3 linked regions of the Canis lupus familiaris genome follow. The protein of the gene in region 2 interacts with the protein of the main gene of each other region in a biochemical or structural test. Links are inferred from orthologs where the notes say so. Each region holds a gene or a part of one and is shown on either strand. Other genes may lie near its edges. The genes, in order: PPP1R11, UBXN2B and PPP1R7.

Evidence for each region.
Region 1: the proteins of UBXN2B (region 2) and PPP1R11 form a complex in vitro, tested with the Homo sapiens proteins (2 studies listed by BioGRID). The link is inferred for Canis lupus familiaris from reciprocal best matches to the Homo sapiens genes UBXN2B and PPP1R11.
Region 3: the proteins of UBXN2B (region 2) and PPP1R7 form a complex in vitro, tested with the Homo sapiens proteins (2 studies listed by BioGRID). The link is inferred for Canis lupus familiaris from reciprocal best matches to the Homo sapiens genes UBXN2B and PPP1R7.

The regions. Positions count from the first base shown.
Region 1 is NC_049256.1:27,782,102-27,786,321, reverse strand, and holds PPP1R11 (E3 ubiquitin-protein ligase PPP1R11), read right to left. Parts: upstream 2,848-4,220; 5' UTR 2,618-2,847; coding exon 2,549-2,617; intron 2,367-2,548; exon of another isoform or gene 2,258-2,366; coding exon of another isoform or gene 2,237-2,257; intron 1,727-2,236; coding exon 1,618-1,726; intron 1,246-1,617; coding exon 1,043-1,245; 3' UTR 9-1,042; downstream 1-8. UniProt on the Homo sapiens protein: Atypical E3 ubiquitin-protein ligase which ubiquitinates TLR2 at 'Lys-754' leading to its degradation by the proteasome.
Region 2 is NC_049250.1:9,730,779-9,734,369, reverse strand, and holds part of UBXN2B (UBX domain-containing protein 2B), read right to left. Parts: intron 3,273-3,591; coding exon 3,189-3,272; intron 2,383-3,188; coding exon 2,273-2,382; intron 1-2,272. UniProt on the Homo sapiens protein: Adapter protein required for Golgi and endoplasmic reticulum biogenesis. Involved in Golgi and endoplasmic reticulum maintenance during interphase and in their reassembly at the end of mitosis.
Region 3 is NC_049246.1:51,237,896-51,242,087, forward strand, and holds the start of PPP1R7 (protein phosphatase 1 regulatory subunit 7), read left to right. Parts: upstream 1-1,335; 5' UTR 1,336-1,438; coding exon 1,439-1,490; intron 1,491-3,446; exon of another isoform or gene 3,447-3,508; intron 3,509-3,923; coding exon 3,924-4,064; intron 4,065-4,192. UniProt on the Homo sapiens protein: Regulatory subunit of protein phosphatase 1.

The sequences.
Region 1 (4,220 bases), on a different chromosome or scaffold from region 2:
TAAACACGTTTTGTGATGTTGGGTTATTTATTTTGTGCATCTGTGGCAATAAATGAGATCTCAGTGGTGGTATGGATTTGACTCATCTCTGCAACTGTGCATGGCACAGAGGCCTAGAAAATGTCAAGATCCCAGTAAGGAGTGGGAAGGGCAGAGAGCTGGACATCTGGGCTTTGGAAGGCAGGAGGATGAGGGTACTGTCTGGGACATGCCCCTTCTCTGTGCTCCCTGCATTTTCTTTCCTCTCTCAGGGACCCAGGGCCCTGGGACTGTGTAGGATTGGTCTCTGATGCCAGAAGACGGAGGAGATTGTTGGCTCTAAGTGACCAGTCTTCAAGTGTTGGCAATCCTTTATCTTATGAGAAGGGTGAGAAGAGGCCATACCTGTTTCCTTTTACATCTCCCATTAAAGATGAGAAAGCACAGACCTCTCTCCCTCAGCTCCTCTGGAGGGCATGAGGGAGGAGGACAGGAGAGGGGAAGGGTCGGGAGCTTGCCGGGAGCCCTCAGGTCTCCTGGGAGACCTTGGATCCCACAGGTAAGGACGAGGACTTCGGGTGATATAAATATGTAACTGGAAGAACTCTGAGCCAGGATTAACAGGCATAGCTGGGGAACACTGCCCCCAATCTGACAGGGACCCTGGCAGTGAAAGCCGGGGCAGCTGAAAACCCCATTTCAGCGTTTGGGACTCCAGGAAAGAATGCAAGGGGCCACACACGATAATTGGATCCTAGGACAGGTAGTTTGGCAGTGAGAACGAAGGGGAGAGACGAGGACCGTGACGCCTGAATCCCTGGAGAGCAGAGGATGAATACTGGAAGGAGAAACGAGGGCTGGGGGAACCCAAAAGTCTGGGCTCTGGAATAGCAGCAAGTTAGAATTCCAGGATCTCTGTGGACCCTCCTATCTTCCCTCCGTCAGGCAGAGGAGCAGGGAGAAGGGCTGGAGAGGGATCAAACCATGTGGGTTTAGTCCCCAGGTAGCCACATGAATACAGTCAGGGCCAGACAAACACAGGAGTGGTGGGGGAGAGAGGAATTTAGTGCTGCATTGGCCCTGGAGGGGGCTGGGAGGGGTCAGGAGGCTGCGGAGGGCTGGTGGGGCTTGGTCCTGGGGTTGTACGACGCTGTCCTTTGCGGTGGCCCCGAACACAGTGTGTATGACCACAGCCTTCCTCTTCCTCCTCATCACTCTCAGTGGAGCTCTCGCCAAAGGCCCGAGGTTTCTCGTAAATACAGCAACCTGGATTCGGAGGGAGGAGGCCAGGAAAGGAGCACCAGTTAACATATAATCAGTTGTACTCCTATTGGGTGTCAGCACTGGCTCCTTCTCCTTCCAGGGTCCAGCTTCTCTAGCCCCGCTGCCCCTGGGGCTCAGGCACACAAACCTGCCAATCCCAGGCACTTCCATGTCTCCCCTATAACCTTAATCCATGTCCCCGAAGCCAGAGAACCACCCAGGCTGTGACAAGGCTGTTAGCAGCTGGGGGCCTCAGGGTGGTCAGGTGTGAGAAGGAAGGCCAAGAGGGGTGGGGGCACAGAGGAGGCACCTGGGCTCCCCCACCCAGAGCTGGGTGGTGGGGTGGGGATGGGCAGCAGGGCAGTGAGCACTCACATTTGGATGAGCGGCGCCCCATGTGCTCATTGTCCACAGTGTCACTCGTCCATTCTACCTTCTTCTCTGGCTTCCGTTTCCGCAGTTTGATGGTCAGGCTCCGGTTCTCCTGGAAGGTGGGGAAAGACAGACATAGCCATCTGGTCCCCTCTGGCCGTCCCTTCCTCATCCCTCCCTGGGGGGTCATGTCTCCCAGCACCCCCCACCCCAGTCCATCAGGCCCCACCCAGGGTGGCAGAGGGGCCCGGCGCAGGTGGGGTAGCGCACAAGTGTGTGACCTCCGGGTCCCTGGGGAATTCTGCCGCTTCATATTCTGTGTCCATCCCAGCTTCGTGGACAGAGAAAACACAACTAACCTAGGAGGGTCCCCGCACATCTTCCAGGGAAAGCTCAACCCTCTCCGTCTCTCCATCCTCCTCCCCACATCGGCCTCGGTGTGACTAATGCTCGAGGAGGATTTTCTCAGCGCCCAGGACCTAACCTTCACCTGCGGCTCACTGTGAGGATCCCCGGACCCTCCCGGGCTTGCGCCCGCACCCGTGCACCCAGCCCCCGCCCCGGTCCTGCCAGGGCCCTCAACAAGGCGTGCAGCCCAGCGCACTCCGGTCCCGAGCTGCACCTCTTCGGACTCCCACATCATGCCCTGGTGTCCTCGAGGGGCGCTCACGGGCGGCCGTCCGTCAGGTGCTTCCCGACCCAGGGGGCGCCCCGGGGTCCCCCGCCCCGACTCTGAGCCTGTGGTGCGCCTTCTGCAACGGAACCACCGCTGGGCCCTGCCCCCGGGGTCCCCCTAGGCTCCCGCGCCAGCTCCGAGTCCCCAGCACGCCCCCCCCCCCCGCCCGCCCCCTCCGCAGCCCTGACCCCGCCCCGCCCCCGCCCCCGGCCCGTCCCCGTCCCCGCCGCGGGCGCCACCGTCCCCCGCCTTTCTCACGGGCTCAGTTGTCACGGTAACGGTGGTCTCCGTGACGGTCTCACTCAGCCCGGCTCCTGCCTCGGCCATGGCTGAGGCTGCGGAGAGGGCAGAGGGCGGCGGGGCAGGAAGCGGCCTTCCCGGTGTCTCCGAGCTCTAAGACGACCGGACCGGGATCGGGATCGGGATCGGATTCGGAGGAGCAGCCAGGACCCTCCAGCGCCTCGGCCCCTCCTCCTCGGCCTCCGCTTCCCCCCGGGGTAACCTGCCCAGCTCCACTTCCGGCTCGCCGCTTCCGGGTGTGACGCACTCCGCCGTCGCCGTCCCTTCCTGGCGCCGAAGGTCTCCGGACGCATGCGCCGCCGGACTAGTTCTCCCGTCACGTGACGGTGAGCAGGTGCCGCAGCCCGCAGAGAAGGCGACGCTGCGGGGAGCGGACGTTGCGCAGGCGCGGCCCGAGACCCGGCGGGAGCGCGGTCCCCGAGGGCCGCGGGGGCGGGGCGCAGGTCCCTGGCTGGGCGCAGGGTATGGGATGCGGTTACCCAGGTGCGTGGTGCGGGCGCCGGGACCCCCGCCGCGCGGCGCCTGGTCCCGGACTGGAGCACCGGCCCCGGAGCTCCAGCAGGTGCAAGCGCCAGGTCAGGGCTGGGCTCCCTTAGGCGCCGCCGGGAATCCCCCTCCCCCTCCTCGGCCTCCCGCAGTCCTCTGGGGGCCTCGTGGGTGTAGGAATAACGTGCGGGCTCTGAGATGCTGACGTGAGCGAGGCTGCGGGGCGTGGCGGTGAAATCCGCTACCGAGTGGCCCGCAAGAGCTACCGACAGCAGAGGCCGAGCTGCGGTCCACGGAGCACCTGCCTTTTTGTCGGGCAGAGATGGCCAAAGGGGCCTGGTTGGCAGGTGCGGGTGAGGCCAGGTGCGTGCTGCAGGCATGAGGTTCTGCAGGGAAAGCTTGGGGAGCCTGCACCAGCCGCGGCGGGAGGGGTGAGGGCCGCCGCCGGCGGTGGCATCCGGCAGCAACCGGGGAGGAGACTCTGGACGATGCCTGTTAACAGAAGTGGTCAGGGAAGTCCGCCCTGCCCGTCCCATCAGTTCCCACTACGTCGCCCGGGGCTCAGACACCTCAGGGAAAGTCTCAGAGCTCAGAACACACAAAGGACCGGGCAGTGTGCAAGCCAAGGAATGCAAAAATTGACTCCAAACTAAGTTTGAATGTTTATTGTGGCCGGACTACAAAATTTCGTTCAATGTGATAAAAAGCAAGATACAACTTGTATTCGTAGTAAAGCCCATTTAAAAAAAAAAAAAAAAGTATCTCTCTGAAGTAGGATTCCTTGTCATTTTTTACTCTACCTTTCCATATATGAATTTATCACAATGAATATACATTTATGTCAACAGCAATAAAAAAATACAATTTTCAAAATGTCCAATGTGTTCAGCATATACTGGTAAACCTTAGTATCAGACTTCTCCTTGTTCCAGCTCACACGTCAGACACATCTGGTTACGTTATCTGCTTATCTCCCAGCATCTGGGCTCCTGCTTTGTTTCCCTAAACTCAGGAACCAAATACATTTAGTCATGGAATACTTGTAATTACTTAAAAAAAAAAAAAAGATTTATTTATTTATGTGAGAGACAGAAATAGAGGCAGAGACATAGGCAGAAGCAGGCTCCCTATAGGGAGCTGGATG
Region 2 (3,591 bases):
TGGGTGATATACAGAATTATTGAATCACTATATTGTATACCTGAAATGAATATAACACTGTATGTTAACTATACTGGAATTAAAATTTTAAAACAAGTTGCATCACCTCATTCCCAGTGATTCTCAATATAGGGACTTTTTGTTGTCACAGTGATCTTGGAGTGCTTCTAACATTTAGAAACCCAAATTGCAAGACAGTAATTTATACCTAAATAAGCACTAGAAAATTCCTATGAAGACATAATAGTTAATGAAGATATTTATTTCTAAAATCTTTGGAAGAAGTTTTAAAAATTGATGTATTTGATTGTTATGTGGTTCGTGACTGCTGTTGTTCAGGGTCAGGATCCAGATACGAGATGCACTCTTCTATAGGGATTCATCTTGCCTAATCAAGTCTTGTCTTGGGTCCCACAGAACCACTGAATGCCCTGCTAGAGATTTGCATGAATGAGGACACTGTAGTGTCTGAGCCTAAAACTTAAAGCTTAAGGTCTGTCTTACAAAGAAGAAAAAAGGACTTTCTTTTGGTGGGGGGAGCATTGTATTAATACACTTTGAAATTTTCAGGAATACCTGTACCATATAAACCAAGAGAAGACTGTGTTTTGTTTGGAACTTTATCAAGTCCCTGACTACAAAGCCACTGCTAGTAATTATGCTGCCAACCGCACATACTTCATTATTCTGTTTTTATGTTTGTCACATTTTCTTGAGAAGTGCTAGACTGCACATAGGTGCAAACTATCTGACTACTTTTATTATGTCTTCTGGTGTGGTCAAATAAAAGCATTTATAAACTGAAATATATACAATTTTATGATATTTTATTTCAATATATTTAAGATAAATATTATATCTTTTGGGGGAAATAATATGTAGGGACAGATTATATTATCTATGGAGTCATTCTTTGAGGACAGTGAAGACAGTATTACAAAATAGAAGACAGCGATTTAATAGTTGACAACCACTATCTGACATCAGTCATGTCTTCAAGGACTCTTTTCTAAAACTGTTGTTGATCATAATTTGTACTTCAGGACATGATTAAAAAAAAAAAAATACCCTCTTTTAGGACATCATGACTGCTTGAACGTTAGCCCACGAAGTTTTTGGCTTATTTTCAATTAAGAATAAATGAGTTTTGATCTACATTATAGTACATTCATCATCAGTATGTTATCTTCCAACATCTTTGAAATAAGCATCAATTTCAACAACAATGTTGATCTTCCCTTAGCAGATGAACATTCCCTTACTTACACGTTCCTAGCTCTTTCTAGTGACTTCAGGTTTCCATGTCCACAGCACTGACTCAAATTATTATTTCCTTGTATTTATCACCACTATATACTACCTCCTTGGACAGCTCCCCACCTTTCTCAATGACTTTGGCATACTGTTTACAGTATTTCTTGCCATTTTTTGGTGTCCTGACATTATTTTGTAGAATTCAAATTCAAATTTCATGCTAGTGTTCTAAAGATATCGTTCCTTTAGAGGTCCTTGACTCCCTCTATGCCAGTGAGTTTCACCTCCACTCCACTTCAGCCACTCTCCTTGGACATATTTGTATCACTTGGAAAAGCCCCACCTTTAATTCCTGAATGGAGTATAACCTCCTACTTAGTCTCTTCACTGTGACTTAAATCTCCTAGTTCATCACCAACCTTTTGTGCTTGGTTGTATTTCTATTTAGGAATGATCACATTGTCAGCCAGTGAAAGAATGATGCAGAAAAGCTTTTATAATCATAGCAAAATCACTTGATTCTTCATCCTTTAGCAAGAGCTTAGTGAGCTATGATATTCTTTAGATCGGTCAGAGCACTGTATATCTGGTTTACTTTCACAAATTGTAACTTCAAACTAACTTTTTAAATCTTCTACCAGCAGAAATGCCACTTTAAAAGATTTCTAATATAAGTTGCTGAATTTCAGGCAAACATGCAATGAGAGCCATCCTGTTAACAGTAAGCAGGACAGTGGCTTAGTAGGATGGGCAGCTACAGGCTAATCAATTGTACTGATTTATTATATTGAGATGTTTCTTCTTGGAACGGGGACCACAGCTTGACCACATCTTGAAAGTGACCAATGTCTATTGCCCCTTCCCACCAAATTAAGAACCAGAGACTTATGGATAGCAATATATCCTTTTAGATACTTAAAAATACCCTTCCCCCTATTTACATAATATATTCTAGTACCTTAAAAATAAAAAAGTTCCACCCTCAGTAACAAATAGAATACAGGTAAATATATCTTACCCTCTTTTAACAGACTCCAGAAATTGAGCATTTGGTGGGTCATTATAAGGTCTCAGTTCTCCGTCATCTAAACTGAAACCATTACTCCATAGTTTAAGCAAAATCTGAACCTTTTGAACATAGGAAAAAAGATAAAAGAAATACAAGAATCCATTTGCATCAAATAATTTTAAGCTTCAAATGCGGTTTCACAACATATTAAACCACCTACTTTATTTCAAATATGGAGTTATTCATTCTATTCTTTAGTTACTGTTAAAGATGTAAATGAACGCATGAGTATTTGCTTGGCAGATTTGTATGTAACTTAACAAAGTGACAATGGCTGAAATGCCAAAGGTCTCACAGCTAGATCCTGGCCTTGATGTACAATTAGTCTGGGTCACTGAGAAAATGAAAGCGATTAGAGTGTCCAGCTGTTACTCCACATCCGCTTTTCTCCGTCATCTGTACCTATATTCTTGTCTGCTGCACAGGGCTTAAATATTTATGTCAAGGGGCAAGACAGAACTTTCAGTGACCCTATAGGGCTAAAGTACACATGTTTAAATGAAATTATAACTCCAAATTTTAAAAGCCAAATCCAAATAATGACTTTAGGGATTTCCCTGTTTATAACCTAGCTAATTCTCTATTAATGACATTATACTATTTATAATAATTACTGTATGTATATAAAGCTCATTTTGACAATGAATCCTATCTTTTTTCAACATATAGAAAATATTTACCATCTAAGTACAAGGCATAATTGAGACACAATATAAAATTTGAGACTAAAAGCTTACACATTAGTCTTAAAATCCAGGTTTCAAAAATAACAGAAATTATATTCATATTACCAATTTTTAACTTTAAAAACAGTAGTCACTAGAGGCAAATATCTGCAACTTTTCATTTTGGTTACTGTACCTACATCTTGCAGTTGATTTTCTCCATAGATGTATTCAGACCGCTTACAAAAGGAATTACCCAATCTGTATCCTCCACCTGTAAATGACTAAAATACATAGCAAATGAGCTAAAAATTCACTATGGTTTATCAGGAAAAATGTTATGGTAATGTGCGATATATATTTCAAAACTAGATCAGCTATAATTAGCCAAACCAGTTTATACTTTCCAGGAAAATTTTATATTAAAATGAAGGTTTTATGTTACTGAGAGGTATATACTTAAGTAAGAAATTATATTTCTTCCCATAAAACATTAGTGACTCAGAAGTTGAAATAATTTAGGCCAATCTTAACTTAAAAAATACATTTATGTACTGAAATATATATTTTCAAGTATAAACAGATTTAAAAAGGCTACCACTA
Region 3 (4,192 bases), on a different chromosome or scaffold from region 2:
GAGAGCGCGTTGGGGGGAGCGGGAGGGGGAGCCAGAGGCGGGGGAGCCGCGGGGCGGGGGGGCCTGCCACGGGACGCGCCTTCCCGCAGGAGACGGGGCAAGGACGCCTAGAGAACGCAGGCTGCCAGCTCCGGGCGGACTGTGCGCGGGCGCGGCCGGGCCCCGGGCACCCCTACACACACCCTCGTTCTCCCCGGGCCCCCCCCCCCACACACACACACGCGGGTCTCCCCGGGCCCCCTCCCCCTACACACACACACACACACACACACACACACACACACACACACCGGCCTCCCCCACACACGCGGGTCGCCCCGGGTCCCGGGCCAGGGCACCGCAAACGGCCGCAAGGTGGCAGCGGGCCCCCCCGGGCGGAGCCGCACGGAGGGGACGCGGGGGGCGCGGGGCTCCCGGGCTCGTCCGCCGGCCGCCTCCCCCGGGGCAGGCATCCATCTCACCTGCGGCCCGCCTGGGCCAAGCCGCCAAATTCGCCTCGCCGCGCGGGGAGGGGCTGATCGGCCGCACCGGCCAATCGCAGAACGACTCGCGTCGATGGACAGGCGCCGCGAGCCAACCAGTAGCGCCTGTGGGCGGGACTCCGCGAGCCGGCGCCCAGAAGCCCGCGCTAACGGTTGCTAGGGACGCACCGGTCTCCCCTTACGGCGCCCCGGAGGAGCCAAAAGAGACGGCGCCCCCGCCCACCGGGTCTGACCAACTCGGCAGCTCTGGTCTCCGAATCCGGAAGGGTGAGCGGCGCGGGGCTCCCCGTCTGCAGCCCGGGAGGCGGGGGGCGCGGGGAGGCTCCCTCAGCGGCGGGGCCGGCGGAGGCTGCGGCCCGCAACGATGGGCGACGTCCCGGACCCCGACGGGCGCCCCCCCGCCGGCGGGCGGCCCCGGCTCCGACCCCGGCTCCAGCGCGGGCGCCCTGCGCGGAGCGTTAACCGGAGGCAGCCGCCGCTCACGGACTGAGTCCGCGCAGCGACGTCGGGACGAAGTCAGCCGCGGTGCAGACGCAGCGGCGGAGCCCGGAGGGGCCGGCACGCACTCGGGGGACCCGCACGGTGCAGCCCCACGCGGAGACCCTGCACGAGCCCGCGCGCCCCCAGCATCTCCCAGGCGCTTCCCTCCGCTTGCCTGCAGCCACGGTCCCGTGCGTCTTGCTCCTCCCCGCTGCTCGCCTCCGGACGCCTCCGGACGCCTGCGGTGCGCGCTCAGACTACCTGTCCCGGGGAGGTGAGGCGGGCTGCTCCCGCGGCGGGGGCCCTCATGGCCTGCCCCGTGAACTACAATTCCCATGAGACACTGGGGCCGCGCAAGCGCGTCGGGGTTCAAGCCTGGCGTGGGAGCCCATTGGCTGAGCTGGCGCCGAGCCGGGAGCCCTGATTGGCCGAGGGGCCTGAGGCCACAGATTCCGGAAAGGGGAAGAGCAGCCAACATGGCGGCGGAACGCGGCGCGGGCCAGCAACAGTCGCAGGAGATGATGGAGGGTGAGCGGCTCCGCGGGGCGGCGGCCCGAGGGCCCGGGCGGGCGGGGGGCGGCGGCCCGCAGCGGCCTCGCCTGAGAGAAGCGGGCCGTCCGGGCTGCGGCTGCCGCTCCGGCTCGGGCCCCGCCGCGCGCGCTGACAGCTGCCGGCTCGGGGGCAGGGGCAGGGGCAGGGGCAGGGGCGGCCCCGGCCCCGGGGACCCGGCAGAGGCTGCAGCGGCCGGGAGGGCGCGGGCGGCGGGGCGCGGACGGGCGGCGGGGCCGGGTACGCCGGGCGTGCTGCTGGCGGGCGCCGCGCCCCGAACCTCCGAGCCCGGCAGCTCCTGGGGAAACTGAGGCGCGCGGCGGCGCGGAGGGAAGGGCTGGGCGGGAGCCGAGCGGCCCGGGCCCTCTGGCCCCAAGACGCTAAATCCGACCCTTTAGCTCCGTTGGAAAAAAATAATAATGATCCGCACGTGGTGCCCGCGTCGGCGGCCTGGGCGGGGGTCCCGGTCGGGGCAGCCCCTCACCCGGGCGCCAAGTGCCGGGAGGAAGGGGGGGCCCGGGCACCTGCACACGGGGCCGGGGGAGGACGGAGGCAAGGACCGTGGAGGGAAGCGGCCAAGAGTGACCGCCCGGTCGGAGGAGGGCGGCAGGGGAAGGCCGGGGCGGCCCCGCGAGGGGCTGGGTGTTTGGCAGCCAGGAGACAGCCCTCGCTCCGTCCGCCGCACGTCGCCCTTTCGGAGTCTGGGTGAATGGCACGTGCAAAAGCCAAGTGATTCCGTCCCCGGCCCGGCCCGGCCGTCCCCACCCATCCCGTTACCCAGCAAGCTCCCTAGCACGTCCTGGCATCTCCAGGTCTTCAGTGCCTCCTCCGTTCCCACTGCCCATGCTGTGGGCCAGCCCCTTGCTCCCGGGATCCCGAAACTGCACCATAATTGGATCCGCTGCCCCAGCTGCGGACCGTCTGCTGCCTGCAGGGTGGTCCCGCGTTGCACTTTGGCCTCCCGTCGTCAGGCGGAGTCCCTGCCGCCCTGGGCACAGCCACACTATGCCCAGTGGAAGGCGCCCTCCCTTAGCCTCGGCCACAGAGTGCCCCGTGCGTGGTAGCAGCTAACTGCCGAGTGTTTAGTGCGGGTCATGCACATGCCGACTGCCCCGGAGGCTTTTCTGCGTTAGTCCGGACAGCACCTCTGGTCTGTGGGGCCTGTCCCAGCCCCCTGGTTACAGATGCAGAGAGCGAGGCTTGGGAAAGCCAACAGCCTGTTGGCACCGGGTCTCTAAGGGCAACGTGAAATCTTCAGCAGGAGCCCCCGGCATTCCAGAAACCTGTAGAGTCAGAGCTCAGATTCGGATGTTAGAATCGCATCAGATGCTCTGGGAATGCAGAATAGATGAGACAAAGCCCAAAAAAAAGCCACAGAGAGACCAGTTAGGAGGCCAGGAGGGAGCCCAGGCAGTCGCCAGAGGGGGGCAGAAGCAATGGATTTGGCGGTTTGGGAGGCGGAGTTCATAAGGACTTGGTTTTATCCAGCAGTCGCTTCCCAGGCGCGCTTTTCTCGGCCCAGGAGGAGGTACAGAGAAGAAGTAAAACTACTTTTCCCCCAAAGAGTGCACCCCTTTGTGGACGAGGCGTAGCAAGGATGATTGAGGACTCCCAGGGATTTATTCCTGTTTCAGCTCTTTGAGACAGACTGCCAATGGAGACGATGAAAAAAGTCTGGAGAAGGGAAGATTATTTGACGGTCTTAGCAAAGAAATTTTGCCAGTCTGCCACGTTTAGTCATTGCCTTATCTATCAATTCAGAAAGTACTTATTTACCAGCCTTTCAAAGCAGTTAGCTGGTATCACTGTGTGCTGATGTTTGGCATCGGTGACCTTTATGTGGGGCGTTTGGCGCTACTGGCTGTCTTCGCCTTTTTCATTACAGCCCCCCCCTCTGCCCACAGTCTGATTTGAGTTAGTCTTGATTTCTTTCAGAACGTGGGCCTGTGAACTGGGCTGGTTTTCTTGGCCAAATGGATAGTGGAGCGTGGATGAAGGTATGTGGTGGAAGGGTCACACTGGTCCCCTCTACGTGGACATCCAGGCCAAAAGCAAGCCGCACAGGAGGCGTTCACTGTGTGTCACCCATTAGTACCTGGTCACAAATGACCCAGGGCTTTCAGAACACCTGGTAATGCTTCACAGTGTCCTCGAGGGCAGGAATAGTAGCTGCTCATCTCAGTACCCGCGTGTCCTTCCCGCTCTGCCCTCCCACACACAAATTGTCCCCAGCACCGTGCACCTCAGGTGGCGCCCAAGACGCGGAAGACACTCAAATGTTTGTCGAGCTGACTTCAACCGATGTTTTTCAATGAAGTCTTTTTGACTTACAGCTGGATGTCCGTCTGTTAAATGTTCCTCGGGGAGTCACGTAAAGTGGCTGTGAATTCTTACGGATGTGTGTGGGCTCAGTTGACAGGCGGGTCGAGTCTGAAGAATCTGGCGATGAGGAAGGGAAGAAGCAGAGCAGCGGTATAGTGGCCGACCTCAGTGAGCAGAGCCTGAAGGATGGAGAGGAGCAGGGAGAAGAGGACCCAGAAGGTACCAGGCCCAGTTAAGAGCCTTCAACTCTCTAAGGGGGGAGGGTGCAGCCGTGTGGTGCATGATCTGCTCTGCCCCACCCCACCGCCTTGGGTGGTGGGCAGGCCAGGGCAGTGGGGGCTGCTCTGGGCAGTGGGACG